Linked DNA regions of Xenopus tropicalis. The protein of the gene in region 4 interacts with the protein of the main gene of each other region in a biochemical or structural test. Links are inferred from orthologs where the notes say so. Each region holds a gene or a part of one and is shown on either strand. Other genes may lie near its edges.

What was found. The genes of interacting proteins can lie anywhere in the genome.
Region 1: the proteins of nr2f1 (region 4) and bcl11b form a complex in vitro, tested with the Homo sapiens proteins (2 studies listed by BioGRID). The link is inferred for Xenopus tropicalis from reciprocal best matches to the Homo sapiens genes NR2F1 and BCL11B.
Region 2: the proteins of nr2f1 (region 4) and bcl11a form a complex in vitro, tested with the Homo sapiens proteins (2 studies listed by BioGRID). The link is inferred for Xenopus tropicalis from reciprocal best matches to the Homo sapiens genes NR2F1 and BCL11A.
Region 3: the proteins of nr2f1 (region 4) and gtf2b form a complex in vitro, tested with the Homo sapiens proteins (2 studies listed by BioGRID and IntAct). The link is inferred for Xenopus tropicalis from reciprocal best matches to the Homo sapiens genes NR2F1 and GTF2B.

The regions. Positions count from the first base shown.
Region 1 is NC_030684.2:90,496,494-90,500,792, forward strand, and holds the start of bcl11b (B-cell lymphoma/leukemia 11B), read right to left. Parts: upstream 2,803-4,299; 5' UTR 2,143-2,802; coding exon 2,085-2,142; intron 1-2,084. UniProt on the Homo sapiens protein: Key regulator of both differentiation and survival of T-lymphocytes during thymocyte development in mammals.
Region 2 is NC_030681.2:33,979,157-33,983,348, reverse strand, and holds the start of bcl11a (B-cell lymphoma/leukemia 11A), read right to left. Parts: upstream 2,803-4,192; 5' UTR 2,670-2,802; coding exon 2,615-2,669; intron 2,592-2,614; exon of another isoform or gene 2,509-2,591; intron 1,833-2,508; exon of another isoform or gene 1,745-1,832; intron 1,520-1,744; exon of another isoform or gene 1,435-1,519; intron 1-1,434. UniProt on the Homo sapiens protein: Transcription factor. Associated with the BAF SWI/SNF chromatin remodeling complex. Binds to the 5'-TGACCA-3' sequence motif in regulatory regions of target genes, including a distal promoter of the HBG1 hemoglobin subunit gamma-1 gene.
Region 3 is NC_030680.2:105,691,126-105,695,199, forward strand, and holds the start of gtf2b (transcription initiation factor IIB), read left to right. Parts: upstream 1-1,272; 5' UTR 1,273-1,299; coding exon 1,300-1,316; intron 1,317-4,074. UniProt on the Homo sapiens protein: General transcription factor that plays a role in transcription initiation by RNA polymerase II (Pol II). Involved in the pre-initiation complex (PIC) formation and Pol II recruitment at promoter DNA.
Region 4 is NC_030677.2:178,175,094-178,179,385, forward strand, and holds the start of nr2f1 (COUP transcription factor 1), read right to left. Parts: upstream 2,804-4,292; 5' UTR 2,288-2,803; coding exon 1,861-2,287; intron 1,599-1,860; exon of another isoform or gene 338-1,598; coding exon of another isoform or gene 229-337; intron 1-228. UniProt on the Homo sapiens protein: Coup (chicken ovalbumin upstream promoter) transcription factor binds to the ovalbumin promoter and, in conjunction with another protein (S300-II) stimulates initiation of transcription. Binds to both direct repeats and palindromes of the 5'-AGGTCA-3' motif.

The DNA of each region.
Region 1 (4,299 bases), on a different chromosome or scaffold from region 4:
GCTCCTTTACCTTGCCTGCACTAGGCGGAACCACAGTTCTGTCCCCAAACACATCTTACCCCTTCCCTTGCTCTCAGGGAAACAACGTGGCTAAATAATAAAGCCATGAGTGCTTTTGTGTGACAGACACAGGCTCCCTAACCCATGGCTTCATGGTCACCTCCTGTGTCACTTTCCCAGGGACTATACATGGGCAATATTACATTTTCCTTCATGTGGACCACGGAACATTTACAGTGATTAGTACATTAATTAGTACTGAAGGCGTCCATTCCACTTCACGGGATTTATGTGGGGACTATGTTTTAGACATTTAGTGTCGTTGTTAGATCAAACCAAATAGTGGCAGGTTGAGGGCAAACAGAAACAAAAGACTTTTATAGAGACCTGTTTGTAGTTGTGAGCTGCTTTCGGTTTGTATCTGCAGAAGGGAGCACATGTGCTAAGTCTGACACGATTCAATGGGAGAAAAACACTACAATTGGGTTCTAATTTATTAAAAATGAAGATGATTTGATTGTAATTAGGTACCAACCCTGTCTCTACAACTCGGAATAAAATGTAGCAATGTAAAGTGCCAGCTCTAGGCCCATACATCGGATTGATCATTTCACAATAAGATGACAGACAGCAGAGCTACCCTGGGCACACTGAGACTCACACACAACTTATGTCCCCGCTGTCTTGCTCTGTGCTCCATTGCACCGTTAGATTGTCAGCTCTGTGAGTTTTGTGTTACACATACACATTTTCTAACTTCATCCCTCCTTTATGATCTACGATATTTTGCATTGATCTGCCTATATGTCCTATAGTGTAAATGGCAGGAAGGTTTCCCAGCTAACGATATTTTATGGTAATGCCATCTCTTATCAGCCCTGTGTTAGCTCCCACACTGAGACCCACTTCTGGCACAAGGTAACTAAAGGTCTCAGTGTTTTTCAGTGTATTTAGATATTACAGGGAAGTACTAACATCCTTTAATATAACAAAGTTAGAAAAGTAACAACTGTTACTGTGCAGTTCCATTCATTCTCTACAAAGTATCATTTGCAAGAACATCACATTATACAGGTGCGAAGGGAGCTTCCCCACATCCCAGTAGAGCTGACCTGTCGTTTTCTTTCAGTGCACTTTGGATTAGTTAGGCTGTGGGAGCCTACATTCGCCAAGCATTCAATCTATCAATCAGCTCTCCCTGTCAGCATACCTTCATGACTTAGGGGTCAACTCGGAATCCGCAGCATTCCCCCCAAAAAACATCCTGGAAGCTATTATGTCCCATCCAGTGTGTAAGTTTCTCTCCCCTCCTAATAAATTGATCCAGAGCCCCCCTTCTCCCACTCCCCCTCTCTCCCCTCTCTCCCCTCTCTCCCTCTCCCTCCCCAGGCTCTGCTGCCAATTTCGATGCATTTACATTTTGCAGCCACGCAGTTGTAACGCTCTCCTAGCCATGTGTTTGTCATTAAGTCTCCCCAGCCAGTCCTGCCCAGGTCTCTACCTTTCCCCAGCATTTCCTTGCCCCCTTTAACTTCACAGCAGCAAAACTGCAAATGAACTGCCCTGCCTTGGCTGCCCTGTATGCATCAACCCCACTGCTGCTTTAACTCTCATTATTACTAGTCATTTCCATGAATCCCATGCTTGCAAAATGCTACGCAGAAGCCACTGGCACAAATGAAATGCATTGCATTCTTGCACAGAAAGATGTAGATATACATTTCTTGAATTATTTTTGGAGAGTGCTTAGCTTTGTATAGTGCTAGCTGTAATGTAGAAGTGTGTGGGATATACCGACACAGCAGTGGGTTTGGAGTTTTTCACTTTCTGCTGTCAAAAGGATCCCATGTGCTCGCTAACTTTTCCTGACTCGCCAAGTTATTAAATGCATGCACCCTGCGCAATTCGAGTGTCACCCATGCAGCCCATGAAAGTTCCGGAGCAGGTTAGTGCTGCTTTCTGCCGGCCCCCATCCTGCCCCTGGCTGCACCTCCTGCCCCTGGCTGCACCTCCTCCCCCTGCTGCCTCTCTACCTTCCCATGCCATGTCCCTACAAGCCTTGGGCTTGCCCCGTACAGACTTACGTGCGATAATCTCCCTTTGTAACAAGTGCTGCGGGTTTCCCTGCTTGCGACGGGACATTGCCCTGGCATTTAAACTGGCATCGCCCGGAGATCTGCTCTGCGTAAGGGCGACCTGGTCTCCTTCCTCCCCCACGTTTCCTTCTTCTTCTTTTCTCTCCTCCTCTCTTTTATTTATTCTTCTTCTTGTCTCCTTCTTTAATGCTATAAAAATATTTAATAACGAAATGCAATAAACGTCCTCCTTTCAGCAAGAAATCAAATAAGGAGGGCACCAGTTTCTCCACTTGGCTTTCCAATCTCTTCTTCAACTTAGGAATTGGCTGATCTTGTGTCCACTCGTCCTATGTCCACAGTGCACGGCAATGGCACTTCTTCCATCAATGCACAAAATTAACAACAAAATAGAAATAATAATTAAAAAAAAACTACGACTGCCCAAATAATGCCAAAATGAGAGGCTTGACCCTGCTGGTTTAGGGGGTTGCCAGAGAGTGTCTCCTTCCAGTTAGACTGGCACTGCCCTGGAATGCAGTGCCCAGCACTTTGCTGCTCCACTTGTCTGGCACTGGAAGGACTTGCTGAGCCAGTGCTGTGCTGCTGGCTATTACTATTTAATTGTAATGTGAAGATGGCGGAGTCCTGGTTCTCTGGGAGCTCTCTGTCTCTCTGTGGCTAGGTCTGCCTCTGTACAATGGGATAAAATTCAAGTTCAAGTACGGACGTGACGTTTAATCTGCACCAGAGACAAAAAGACCGAGAGAGTAGGAGCACTGGGGGCGACTAGTGGTGGCTTTTTAACATTGTACCCTGAACACAACAAGAAAAACCACATGCCTACAGCACAGGGCTTTTGTACAGCTCTCATTCTCCAGCAGCACCCCACTGCTTGCTAAACCCATGCACTGGCACACACACTGATATTAAGGTAGCAGGCAAAGCACTGGCACCTTCTCCTCTTTTTTTTGAGAAAGGGAAGTTCACTATACAAATGTTCCAGGTCAGTTCTATGTGGCATCTTATCAAATACCTAAAGCACTTCATGTCTCCTGCCAGAAATGCCTGTTTCAAATGCAAGCTCTGTAGTACAAAAAAGTCTCTGCAACTTGTGCTGTTTGCATGGTAAGGGATTAGATGGTTTATTATATAAGTGACAGGTTTTTTTTACTATCATGCTAAATTACCAAAGATTTACAATTGCACAGAACTCTTATATACCCAAGACAGTGACCACTGGACTTCCTGCTTGCTAAACTGAAGGGGGGAACACAAACTAATGAATAGCAGAGATCCCACTGTATTATGTCTGTGTGGGGGGGGGGGGTCTGTCCACTTCACTAGGAAATACCATTACACTGACTGTGTTTAAGATTTTGCATTGCACTGCAGTGTGGTGAAAGGGTTAAATTATTTTGGCTTGCATCCAATGATTATGTGGAGTCTATTTAACAAAAAGAACAATTGTTTAATTTCTGCAATTTGCCAGTAAAATGTATTTTGCATGAACAAGATACTTTCCAATACAGTGGATTTTAGAATATTTTTGTTCTGTACTATAAAACACATTCTATCAGTGGTTTTTAATATCAAGTTTTGTATTTTGCTTCCCAAATTAAGCATATAGACATCTTATGGATAAGGTTATCCTTGCAAATACTGTAATATCTCTATCAATAAAGACAGCACACTGAAGATACATTATATGTATATATGTTTTTTTTTCTCTAATAAGCACCCATTTTATGCCTCTATATTTATTTCACACAGCTTCTGTCTGTGTGAACATGAAAATAATTTCAAAAGATTTCACAGAAGGAAAAAAATGATAATCATGTAGCATGGAATTAAAAAAAAAGTTAAAATAGCCACGGTGACATATTGTACATCATTGATGGAATTTGTAATAATTAAACGGATAAGACAATAAAACATCATTGCCGTTTTCTCCCGGAGGACACCTTTTCTTTCTGATGCTCATAAGAAATATGCAGAATGGGGGAAAATGCAGGAGGCAAAAGCCAGAGGATTTGCAGAAGGTGAAGAAAGGAGATTGAGGGAGACAATTAAAAGAACTGGGGACATGTTGTGAACACAGGAATTCATTCTACCAACACATAAACATACGCATACTACACACATGTATAATTACACCCAAACATATTTATTTACATTTCTGTCACACATGGGGTGACATCACTTCAATTACGTTAAGCAAAAA
Region 2 (4,192 bases), on a different chromosome or scaffold from region 4:
CCTCTCTGTTTTAGGAAAAACCTGTTTCCCTCCCCTCCCCCTCTTACACAAGCCTCCTTGCTTCCTTCATCTGGGCTAATGGAGAACAGAACGATGTAAACTTTAAAAAAAAAAATGGACGGGCAAAAAAAAAAAGTCCCAACTAAACCTCTGACTTAAAGGGGTGCACCCCCAAAACTGCTTTTTGTAAATTAAAGAAAATCCCATGTACATTCATTCAAAAAGTTCAGTGGTTTTATTTGTAAATGTAATTGCTACCAAAAATGGTATTTGCTGATCCCTTTCTGTTCTCTGACTCTTGAAACAATGTAGCAGAAGCCAATTCTCCTCAAGGTCTGTTAATCAGTTGACTTCTGCTACATTGTGCCCGCAGTCAAAACCAGAAGTGCAGACAACGTAAACAGCCAGAAACATAGCAAAGACAGCAATTTCATTTACGAAATAACTTTTACATTTTAATGAATGTATATATAGGAAAGATGTTTAGAAATGCGATTAATTTCAGTTTTTGGGTGGGGGTAAAAAAGCAATTACTACACAACTAAATTGAGAGCTGGTAATCTGATAAAATAATGCATGTTGGCATACCACGTTCATTTCTGACCCATTTATGAATGTTACTTATTTACAAAGAGGTGGGTGATTTTTAGCAAGTGGGGAAAACGGGTCTTATTCTGCAAGGCAACGTTTTTCTTTCATTGTAACATTTATGAGGAAAGCGAGTTAGTGTATAAATACAGTTTTCAAAATAATTCATCATCAATAAAATATAAACTCGAAAACTGTTTATACCTTAAAACTGGGTTGCTCTGCGCAAATAAATACATGAATAATTAGAGTGAGATGAGGAAAAAAGACAAAGAAATGAAGAGGAGAAAATATATTCTACCCATTCACCCCCACCAGGAAGAAAAGGAATATGAAAATGAAGGAATATACATTGAACGAGTTAAAGGTTTAAGCTGATAGGTTTCCTAATCTTCCTCTGCTCCCTAGCGGTCAGATCTGGTATCTCTAAGCAAGTCTTAAGTGAAACCTCATGTTGGTGATCAATCCCCTGGAGCTCCCTTGGCAAGGGGTGGGGGTGGGTTCAGACAGAAAAAAAGGCATTATTGCTGACAACAAGAATGGAAAAAAGTTAACTGTGAATAAGAAAATAATACACCAATATAAACTATAAAAAGCAAATATCAACATGTAACAAAGACGTGGAACAATAACTAAAAATATGAAATTCTATTCCCAAAGGACTGGGTCATGCTATGGGGTCATGTCTGATATCCGGTATTGTAAATGTGATAAGATGCAAACACCCACATTTATATAAAAGATCAACAGACAAAAGGAAAGAGAACCTGAACCAAAGAGCAACAAAATGATAATATAAAGAAATACTACAGGTAAAATGACTTTCACCTATGGTCTGGCCGGTACCTGAAGGGGTCGAAGAGATTTATGGAATGAAAGAAATGTGTCATGGGGAATCCATGCTGAACAAAAACAAAAAACAGATGCAAATAAGCACATTTTTTTCAAGAATCCATAAATGTCACAACAAGGGGTTTCAGACACCAGGAAACAATATGGATATATAGATGACATAAATCAGTCTGGAACCTTTTCACATCAGATCGAGGGAATTCTGCACTGCACATTCACACGTTATTTTTTTCACAAAGCGGCGAAAAGTGCTCGGCACCCAAAACAACAACACCAACAACTTGCTTCGAGAACCCTCTCCAACCTTTTCTGAGTCACAAAGTGACAGACAATTTGATTTCTTTCACGGCCGAGCTGCCTCTTCAGAGGGTTTTTGTGTGCGAGTGTGTGCGTGTGTGTGCATTCTGTTGCTTTTTTTCTGGAGATTATTTTGCTTTTCCTGTCCTCAGTTGTTGGCAGGAGGCTCTGCACACGCGGTGCTTGTAAACATTCAGACACGAGATTTTTCCCAATCAAAATCCACTTCCACTTTTTTTGAAAATCTTCCAAAAAATAGTAAGAGAGTGAGAGCGAGAGAGGGAGCGAAAGGGAGAGAGAGGGAAAAGGAAGGGATTTCCTCTGCCGGCGGTGGAACGAGGAAAAAAATAAAAAGTTTTGAAAGAAGAATGAAGATTTCTTTGGGAAGAAAAGCAGCAGCAGCGGCCACAGAGGAGATTCCCTCTTGCAGCAGTCTCTTTCCCTGGGCTCCAGCGAGCAGTTGATAGAGCAGCCTATACAGCATGCCCCATGCCTGCAGCAAGCCAAAAAGCACCCAGCGCTGCCCAAACCTTACACCTTCAGGTCACCACTTTTAAGTTCAAGTAAAAGAAGAATTGCTCATAAAAAGCCCACACTTGCCTACTGATTCCCATGTCATCCCTTCTGCATGGTCTCTGTGCTGTGGCCACTATCACCCCCACTCTCTGCAACATTTGGCTTTTTACCCCCTCTGCCACAATCTCTTATCCTTTCTATGAAAAGTATTTGGCTTTCTACTTCTGAAGACATGAAAGGCTCCATAGAAAGTCTTGAAGATTTTTTCCCCCTTCTTGTCAGTGGTTTTGTCATGCTCTCACCTTTTGCATTGGAGCAGTGGGCAGCTGTGCGGGCAGGTAAGTGTGGGATCGGTACTTACGTGAGTATTCCCGTTTGCTTAAGTGCTGCGGCTTGCCTTGCTTGCGGCGAGACATGTCGGTCGGTGGGTGGCTCGTAAGAGCTCGGTTCACATCGGGAGAGCAGGGTTAGAAAGAAGGAGACTCCAGAGAAAATATCTTCATCAAATGCCTTTGACATCCAAAATAAATTAGAAATAATACAAAGATGGTGCGGGGAAGATGAATTGTGGGACAAGCCGTCATGACATTTTTTTTTTTTTTTTTGGAGGGGGGTGAAAAAAAAGGAGAGAGAGAGAGATAGAGAAGGAGAGAAATGAAAAAAAATGGCAAAAGCCCCCCTGAGCTGCAAGTTCAAGTGCGGACGTGACGTCCCTGCAAACTTGAACGTCAGGAGCTGGATGGACAGAGACATAGAAAACATGGGCAGGGCCAGTGGGAGAGAAGGGGAGGAGGGAAGCCAACACCAATGGACATTCATAAGGGGCTGGACAGGAAAATGAGACCCGGGCAAAGCCAATGGCCAGTGATGAGAGAGAGAGGGGGGTGGGAATGAGGGCACACACGGTACAAGCGGGAGGGGGGAGGAGAAGCTACACACAGGCTGCTGGTACTACTGCCGCTGCCGCTGCCGCTGCTTATTGAGAGGGAGAAAGGAAATAAGGCGAGAGGAGAACTGGAATGTGATCCTGCTGTGGAGATAACACAGGGGAAAGGGATCACAGTCTCTGGCACACTCACTGGGGCTAAGGGGGGCGAGCCCAGGGAGCGGGGGGGGGGTGGGAGAGACAGCAAGGGGTCAGGGAGAATCACCTCACGGGGTATAAGATGGTGCTGAGACCTACACTCGGGCTGGGGCGGCAGGAGAATGACGGGTCCGGTATGAGGAACCATGAGAGGGAAATGGAAGTTAGAGGCGAGCCCAGGGAGGGGTTTATGAAGTTGTTGCGGGAAGAAGTGAGTGGGGCGCTGATGGTACAAGACAGGTATTAATATTTAGCACAAGCACTTGTGTAGAAGGCGTCTCCATGAATGTGCGATAGGGCTGGGGGTGGGCGAGGATACACTGTGGCGCTGGGTGCAACATGGGAACATGCTCACACCTCACACAGGGAGTACAGCACTGGCACACAGAGAGGAAACATGCTCCCACCTCACACAGGGAGTACAGCACTGGCACACAGAGAGGCAACATGGGAACATACTCCCACCTCACACAGGGAGTACAGCACTGGCACACAGAGAGGCAACATGCTCCCACCTCACACAGGGAGTACAGCACTGGCACACAGAGAGGCAACATGCTCCCACCTCACATAGGGAGTACAGCACTGGCACACAGAGAGGCAACATGCTCCCACCTCACACAGGGAGTACAGCACTGGCACACAGAGAGGCAACATGCTCCCACCTCACACAGGGAGTACAGCACTGGCACACAGAGAGGCAACATGCTCCCACCTCACACAGGGAGTACAGCACTGGCATACAGAGAGACAACATGCTCCCACCTCACATAGGGAGTACAGCACTGGCACACAGAGAGGCAACATGCTCCCACCTCACACAGGGAGTACAGCACTGGCACACAGAGAGGCAAC
Region 3 (4,074 bases), on a different chromosome or scaffold from region 4:
AATTACAAACTTGCCCAATGTATATAAATGAGCCCTGTTATGCTTTGTGTGAAGCAGGACATTCTTAGCAGAAAGATAAGAGGCCCTCGCAAAGGGGACATATTTTCAAGTGCTCCAAATCTCTTCTAGCAGCGATGCGGGCTTAACGACCCATGTTTCCTTCCCATCTGCATTAATATAAATCACCGCTAGGTAAACATACGCCCTGTATAGTAGCTAGCCTAGTCGCAACTTACGGTAGCCATATACAGGCTGATTTTAGCTGCTATCGGTCCTTCAGACCAATTCAGCAGCTTATCTGCCCATGTATGGGCACGCACGACAGGCCACCCCAACCGACATCTGGCCTAAAATCGGCCAGATCTCTATTGGGCAGGTTTGATTTTTATGTTGGGTCAGGGACCACATTGACTGCACATTGATGCAGTCCCCAAACTGACAGCTCCTGTACCCTCTGTTTTAATTCAATCGTACCCCGCGAGTGGGCATAATGAATATCAGCTCATTTGCTGACCTTACAGTGTATGGCCACCTTAAGGGGCATATTTATTATGCTGTGTAAAAAAAAAAAAAAAATTCGCCAGGCTTCGCCGTGTAAAAATGGCGTAATTGTTTTACGCGTTTTTTCTTCCACCCGAACTTATGGGAAAATAACGGCGTAATATCCGACATTCAGGTGGCGATCTTTTCCATTTATTTTACACAGCTTTTTACTACGAATTAGTTTTACACAGCATAATAAATACGCCCCTAAGTGTCCATTAATCCTCAGCTGGGGCAGCCTTATTGCCCCACACATATTCTACTCCGGCCATTGTTTCTGTATAAAAGTTTTTTGGTTTTTTTTTATTATCTTTAGCAATATTTCCCCATTTAATAGTTAAGAATTTTAATGAAAGTTGTGGGAATCAATCCCAGATACGGCTATACCACCACATAAAAGAATTTCAAGAAAAATATATATTTTATATAAGAAAACATAACAAAGTTACTGCTTACTTGTACTAGGTTGAGAGTAGTAGTAAAATAAACTGCGTACCAAAGGGAAATGACAGAGTATACCCACACTGCATCTCGCCAAAACTCAGACGCCTGTACGTTCCTCCGTATTACGCACACGTAACTAAGCCCGGCGCTGTCTCTCTGTAGCTGGCAGTGCTGCGCATACATGTGACATCCGCTGTGCGCCGGCCGCCCTGCCTCACTGGGCACGTGACTGGCTAGTCTATATAAGGAAGAGCGCGCCGTCTGTCGGGCTTGTTTCAAAGCAGATTGAAAAGTCGGCGTTAGAAGACAGTCATGGCGTCGACGAGTCGGTTAGTATGTTACCTACCTTTTGGTGCCTTTGCAGTTGTGTTTGTCCTGTCCGTGGGCAGCATGCAGCGGGGGGCTGCTTTGGATAGACTTTCGCTTTCTATTACGCGGGGTGACGACCCTACTGGGGAGCGAATATGAAACTCTCTATACGGCCCCTAAATCAGAACTAATCGTGCCGTACGGTGCAGTTGTTCGGCCGTAGTCCCTGTGAACTTTGTATTAGTCGCTGGGGGAATGGTGGGGATTGTAATGCAGTGAGTTATGGAAGCCAGCGCTGTCAAGTTCGCCTTCATGGCTGGAATCCTTTGTGCCCTGCAGCCTAACTGGGCCAATATTATCCTGCAATGGGGATTGGTGGAACGAGCCATTATTACTATGTTTTCTCAATGGTGATAGGGTTTTGTGGTGGGCCCTTAACTATGGGATTCAGCATAGTCCAGTTATGGGGAGATTTAGGGATAGTACTTATTTGCCCTATTAGCCCAGGTTGAGGGCCACTGAGCAATTTGGACAGGAGACCCTGTTAAACTGACTGCCCCTGGGCTACAGCTGATTGGCTAATGCAGCAATGCCTGTCTGTCCTTTTTATTAACTAAGGGGCTTTTAAAGTCTAGAACAGTGGTCCCCAACCAGTGGCTCGTGAGCAACATGTTGCTCCCCAACCCTTTGGATGTTGCTCCCAGTGGCCTCAAATAAAGTGCTTATTTTTGAATTCTTGGCTTGGGGGCAAGTTTTGGAGGCATAAAAACCAGGTGTACTGCCAAACAGAGTCTCCTATTAGGCTGGCAGTCCATATAGGGGCTGCCAAATAGCCAATAACAGTCCTTATTTGGCACCCCCAGGTACATGTTTCATGCTCGTGTTGCTCCCCAAGTCTTTTTACACTTAAATGTAGCTCACGGGTAAAAAAGGTTGGGGATCCCTGTTCTAGAAGATAACCTAGTACTGTTTTGTGATTCTGTAAACCGGGTGGGTTCTTGTCTCCGCTATAGGGCAATATCCCTGCAATAGTGGCTTTGGCTTCCCCACTGGTTGCTATGTTAGTTGCTATCATTCTATTGACCTGAGTTTCCTGACCTTTTTCTCTGGGGACCAGAGCAAAGTCTAAAAGTTTTGTGACCCAAGTATTATTTATAATATACTTAATTATAATGTGGCTTATTTCATTTTAAGTAGAAGCAACACTGTAAGTCACTCACCTTAAAGCATTGGAATCCACTTTGGTGCCCTGATCTGTAGGGCTTTTGATGTATGCACTTCTCTTCTGGCTTTTAATTACATTTAGCTGCTTCAGTCAGAGCTACGTAGGTGTCTAAATGGTGTGGCATGGCGCTGTCAGGTGTATGTGGCTATGAGGCTGGCTGCAGTCATGTTTGGCATTTGCTTGGCAGGGGGCCTGTAGATGAGTCTTTAATGCTAAAGAAGTTCTGATCTTTCCCTTATATTGACTATTCTGGGGAAAAAATGGACTTTAATAGCTCCGCTTTCTCCCTGGGTTAAAAGGCTAGTAACAGCAGGACCTAAACACGCAGTCAAAACATTTACATATAACGTATGGGCATATTTATCTGAGTGAAAATAAATCTACCCATCACTTATTAACTTTGATAAATATGCCCCTAAAATACTATAAAAGCGCATTATTCCTTGAAAAATTTGCCCCTAGAGTAAGTAGCGGTTTATTGTCATCCCAACAATATACTTAAAAGTATGCAGTGGAACAAAATATCGTCCTCCTGGAGCAAAAAGGTGCAAGAGAATATGGACCTGTAAAACCTTCCTATGGTGAAGTGTCTATTTTCATCCATTTAATAAATGTGTCCCTTAGTGTGAAAACTTGAAGCTTGGGCACCAGTTTTAGAAAGTGATATCTTATTTGAAGATTCATCAATAGATCCCAAGGGTCTTTAAAAAAAAAAAACACTCTCTGAACACAGTGTGCGTTCTAAACATGCTTCAATGGGGTAAGGGAACATAAGTTGTAATTTTGGGAATATTAGTGCAGTAAAGAGGAGGGTGTGCTAGAAGTGTGTGCCACTCTTTATAAAGCTAAAAGTTTAGTGTTTAGGCCAGTTGTAAAGAGATGGGTAAACACTGCTAAATAAATGTTCATAAACCCTTGAATTTCATGGACTGTAATGTTTAACTTTGCTAATGGTTGCATATGTTAAAGAATGACTGACATTGCTGAATTTGACCTCTTAAGGTGGCCATACACGTAACGATCCGCTCGCCTGGCGAGATCGCAGAGCGAGCGGATCTTCTCCCGATATCCCCACCTACGGGTGGGTGATATCGGGGAATTTAGGCTAATTCGGTATGACTGTAAAGGGCGCAGTTGGTTCGGGGACCGCATCAACGAGCCGATGCGGTCCCCGGTCGGACTGAATCTTTTAACCTGCCCGATCAATATTTGCCCAATTTCAGGCCAGATATCGGTTGGGCAGGCCAGTCCAGTCGTTGCTGACCCTACACAGGCCGAAAAGCTGCCGAATCAGTCCAAGGGACTTATCGGCAGCTACAATCGGCCCGTGTATGGGGACCTTTATGGAGTATTTTTGACAGACCTACCTGCTATCCCATTTGATCAGTCTGTCCAATAGAAAATTCTGCCATTGCCTCACATTTACAGGGCATTAGCAGATCTAGAAGTATATTGTATCCCCAGAATGATTGGGACCTGGGGTTTTTCAGCTAAGAGAAATGTCTGTAATTTGGATCACCATACTTATGTTTGCTAAAAACACACTAAACGCT
Region 4 (4,292 bases):
ATGTGTATTAATATATAAATATATATGACTGTATGTATATATATATATATATATATATATATATATATATATATATATACACACACATCACTATATGTATATATACTTAATATATATATATATATATATATATTCATCAATAGTCAGGATCTACAATCATTTCAAACACACGGAATATCCGAAGTGATACAGTGAAACAATGAGAATAGAAGATAAAATTGGACTTACAATAATTAAACATAGTGAGGAGAAGCCAATTAATGTATGCAAGGCTTGGTGCAGTGTGGCTGCTGGCAGAGTGAGTGACCAAACGTGGCAATGCAAAACACTGGATCATTAAGTGCAAGGATGCTAAACGTGAGCAAGCTTATTTATGCTCCCTGCTTGCAAAGCTCACAAACTGTTCTAATGGGGACGTGGGGGCTCACTCCATAGGCGCTAACTGCCTGCTCTCAGGACATGAAAACTAACAAAAAGAAAATGGAAACTGAACTAAATTTAGAACCCACACAGACACACAAAAAATATGAACTCACCCCATGCAATGCAATCATATGGCAATGATTTGTGTAGTGGGCCAATTTAAATGACTAGCATGTCTGGTATTGATAGGCTCTCACTATACAGGACAAGTATTCCCAGGCTGCTGCATTTTTAATAAAACCTCGGATTTTTAGATGGCGACGCTTTGCATTTAAATACAAGTGGAGTAACCTGTTCATTAGAGATAAAATATAGAACAATTATAAGCCTATGGATGAATGTATTTGCTTCCTGCTTTCCTCACCTAAATTACCTTGGAAATATTAACGTGACTTTTGGTTTTATATAAGTTTCAGCGTGGTTTGTAAATGCGGTGATGCCTATGTGCAGAGCATTGGGCACTGGCTTGATTGTTACACTGTATCTATTTGTACATAGTCACACACTCACACACACATTCATTCTCACAAAACATTACTTTTCTTTACTGTACACAACCACCCAAAATACCAATCACACAATCTAATACAAATACACAAGTACACAATATTTTTTATATATCACTATGTATCAGGATGTGTCAATGATGTAACAGTTTGTCTACTCCTACACACATAAACTTACACACACTGACAACCTGACACAGATACACAAAACCCACTGACAGGCAGGAACAAGTACAAGGCAGCTACGGACCCCGCATATACAGCCTCACCCCATTCATTCACACACTTTAAGCTTCTGTAACGAAAGGGAGGAAACTTTTAGTTCTCTCTGTAAAGTGTGTGAGATAATGGCCTATATATAAAATACAATACAACCTTCTTAAACAAGGTGGCTGCTAATTTAAATTATGTCTGGATTAAAGAGAGGGATGGCATAATGAAAATGGACTGTATATGAAGAATAAATGCATTTTGAATATGAAGAATATGAAGTGGAGCAGAGAGGGCATGTGTTTAGCAAGGCCACGAATTGCTGGAACTAGAGGAACTAGAGGATGCCTGGAGTGCCCAGAGCATGGATGGAAAGTACAGTAAATTGCATTGTTTTCATGTGGATTGGTGGGGGAGAGGTGCTTGGCTGAACTTGCTGTGTGTGTGTGTCTTTTAATGATGACAGAGAGAGGGAGAGAGAGAGAGAGAGGGAAGGGATGGAGCACATGAATAGAGAGGCTCAGCCAACAGCCCACAGCATGCTTCCACAGACAAAACCCACACAAAGCTAGACACGCGGGGAACGCAGCGATTATTAATATTAATAGCGCCACAATGCATCAGCAAGTCATACATATTGGGCCAGGCAGGCGCACTCACACACACACACACATAGACACACACACAGACACACACACCGGTGCCCAGAGCAAATATTCACCTTCCCTCCTCATGCCCACTTTGAGGCACTTCTTCAGGCGGCAGTACTGGCACTGGTTGCGGTGGTGCTGGTCTATGGGGCAGTTGCGGTTGGCGCGACATGTGTACGTTAAGTTCCTGCGGACGCTCCTCTTGAAGAAACTTTTGCAGCCCTCGCAGGTGAACTGGCCGTAGTGCTTGCCGCTCGACTTGTCCCCACACACGACGCACTCGATGTGCTGCTGCTGACTCTGCCCGGAGCCCTGCTGGCCCTTGTCCCCGGCTGCACCGGGGGTGGATGGGGGTCCCGGCTGGCTGGGGGTCTGAGGCGTGTGGGGGGCAGCGGAGGGCGCTTGCTGTTGCTCCCTGGCCCCCGGGTTGGGGCCTCCCGGATTTCCCCCGGCCACGTCCTCCTGCGGATCTCTCCAGCTGCTAACTACCATTGCCATATCTCGGGCCCAGAAAGTGCTGGAGAGGGAGCTTATGGCCGCGGTCTGGGGGGATTTGATCCTGGAGGAGAAGAAGAAGCTGGCTGTCTCTGCCGTGGTGCTGGCCGCTGCTGGGAGCCGTTTCCTTGGATTAGCGCTCAAGGGATTTCCCCCTGTCTCTTGCACAGTGAAATGGGCTCAGGAGCTAATGATGTATTGTGTGCCCGGCTGGGCGCTGGAAGTGCGGCTTCAACTGTTCCCCCCCTCCCCTGAGTGTCGATCTGGTCCTCCTCCCCTGGTCTCCGGGCTGCGGGCTGCAGGAGGAGGGTTCAGGCTGGGGAGGCGGCGGGATTCGCAGCCCCAATTTCGCCGGCAGACATAGGGCGGCCAGGGGCAGCGGGCTCTGCAGGACGGAGCAGTGTGCAGCCGGCCTGGGTGACGGGAGGGAGGGCGATGAAGAATAAATCTTTGGAGGGGGTGGGTGGGGGGACCTGATCAGGGTTTGTTAGTGTCCGGGGGCCAAATCCAGGGCAAAATGCAGTCAGCCATTCATAGAGCCAGTCCTGGGAATCTGCCTCATCCACAGCCTGGAGCAGATCAGGCGCTTCCCTCCCTCCGCGATCTGTCGCTTGGCAAATGCTCTCTTTATTGGGAGCGATGGAGAAATAACCCCGGTGCGACTCTCATTGCATCACAAGTCACAAACAGCGAGAGAAGGTTCCGACCCGTCCGCACCATGAGGAGACAGAGCCCGGCTTATCCCATCTGCCCGGAATAACAAGGCTCTGATAGGGGTCGGGCTGTGGCTGTACCGGCCGGCGGCTCCGCTTCTCCTTCTGCTCTTTGGCTTCTCAAGTCAGTTGGAAAAAAAAACACAAAAAGTCGCAGGAAAAGTCAGAGAGAGACACCGGTATCCTCCTGGAGCAGCGACACTGCGATTCTGAGAATAGAATAATAATAACAATGGGCTGGAGCGGTCGGTGCTGTGCGGAGCTCTCCTGCAGGAATGGAGTGAGGGAGGCAAAGGGGGGAAAAAGAAAAGGAAAAAAAAAGCCCAGACGACACCTAATAGAATATGCAATAAGAAGAGAAGTCGGGAGAAGGGAAGGCACAGAGTCACACACACAAATGAATGCGTTTAAACGGGAAGAGCAGCGGAGCAACGTTTCCGAAAGGGGGATCTGCGCGACTGTCTGTATATAGTGAACTTTGACACTACTATTGAAACTGACACGTTTCTATGGAGATCGCTGCCTTATATGGTGCTCATGTCAAGGAGCCAAGAGAGGGGCTGCTGGCAACTGATAATCAAAGGCGACTGACTGGTCAGAGCCCCGAGTTGGGGGGGAAGAAAAATGGGAGGCTAAGGTTAGCCAAGCCCCCTCTTCCTATTGGTGGGATCACTTGTGCCTCAGGCCCCCCCTTTTCCATTTGCCTTGTTACCTACGACTGGGGCTGGAAGGAGGGAGAATGATGGGGGGGGGGGGGGGGGGGGGGCTCTGACAAGCGCACTGTTCATTCACATCGCCTGCCTGCCCGCTGCTGCCATTTGCTCGCAGCCCTGATTAGCATGGGCCACAACAAAATGCACCACTTGGAGTGGCTGATGGGAAAATGGCAGAACTTACACGGCCTGGAGATGAAGATGTAAAAATGAGGAGACTGTGAATTATTTAGATTGATGTCAAAAGGAATCTCACTCTCTCCCCAGCAGCACTCTCACTCCCTGTCCGCACCCCCCTGCACTTTCCCACTGATCTCTAACAATGAGAATAATAATAAAAAAAATGTGTATCTGTATTTGAGCAAATATTTATATCTATCCCCCGCTATAGTGCGATATTTAGTGGAGAAGTTGCGCCACAGCGTTAGAGGAATTATTAATGAAACGCAGCTCCTGTCCCTTTTTGTTGTCTGGCAGGATCAATGCCTGTAAGAGTCCCAGCAGCACAGGCACCCTGTTAGAGACGCACATGCCTTTCAGCGGCAGAATCGCTGGCTGTGGCTGCCATCTAGCGGACAGAAA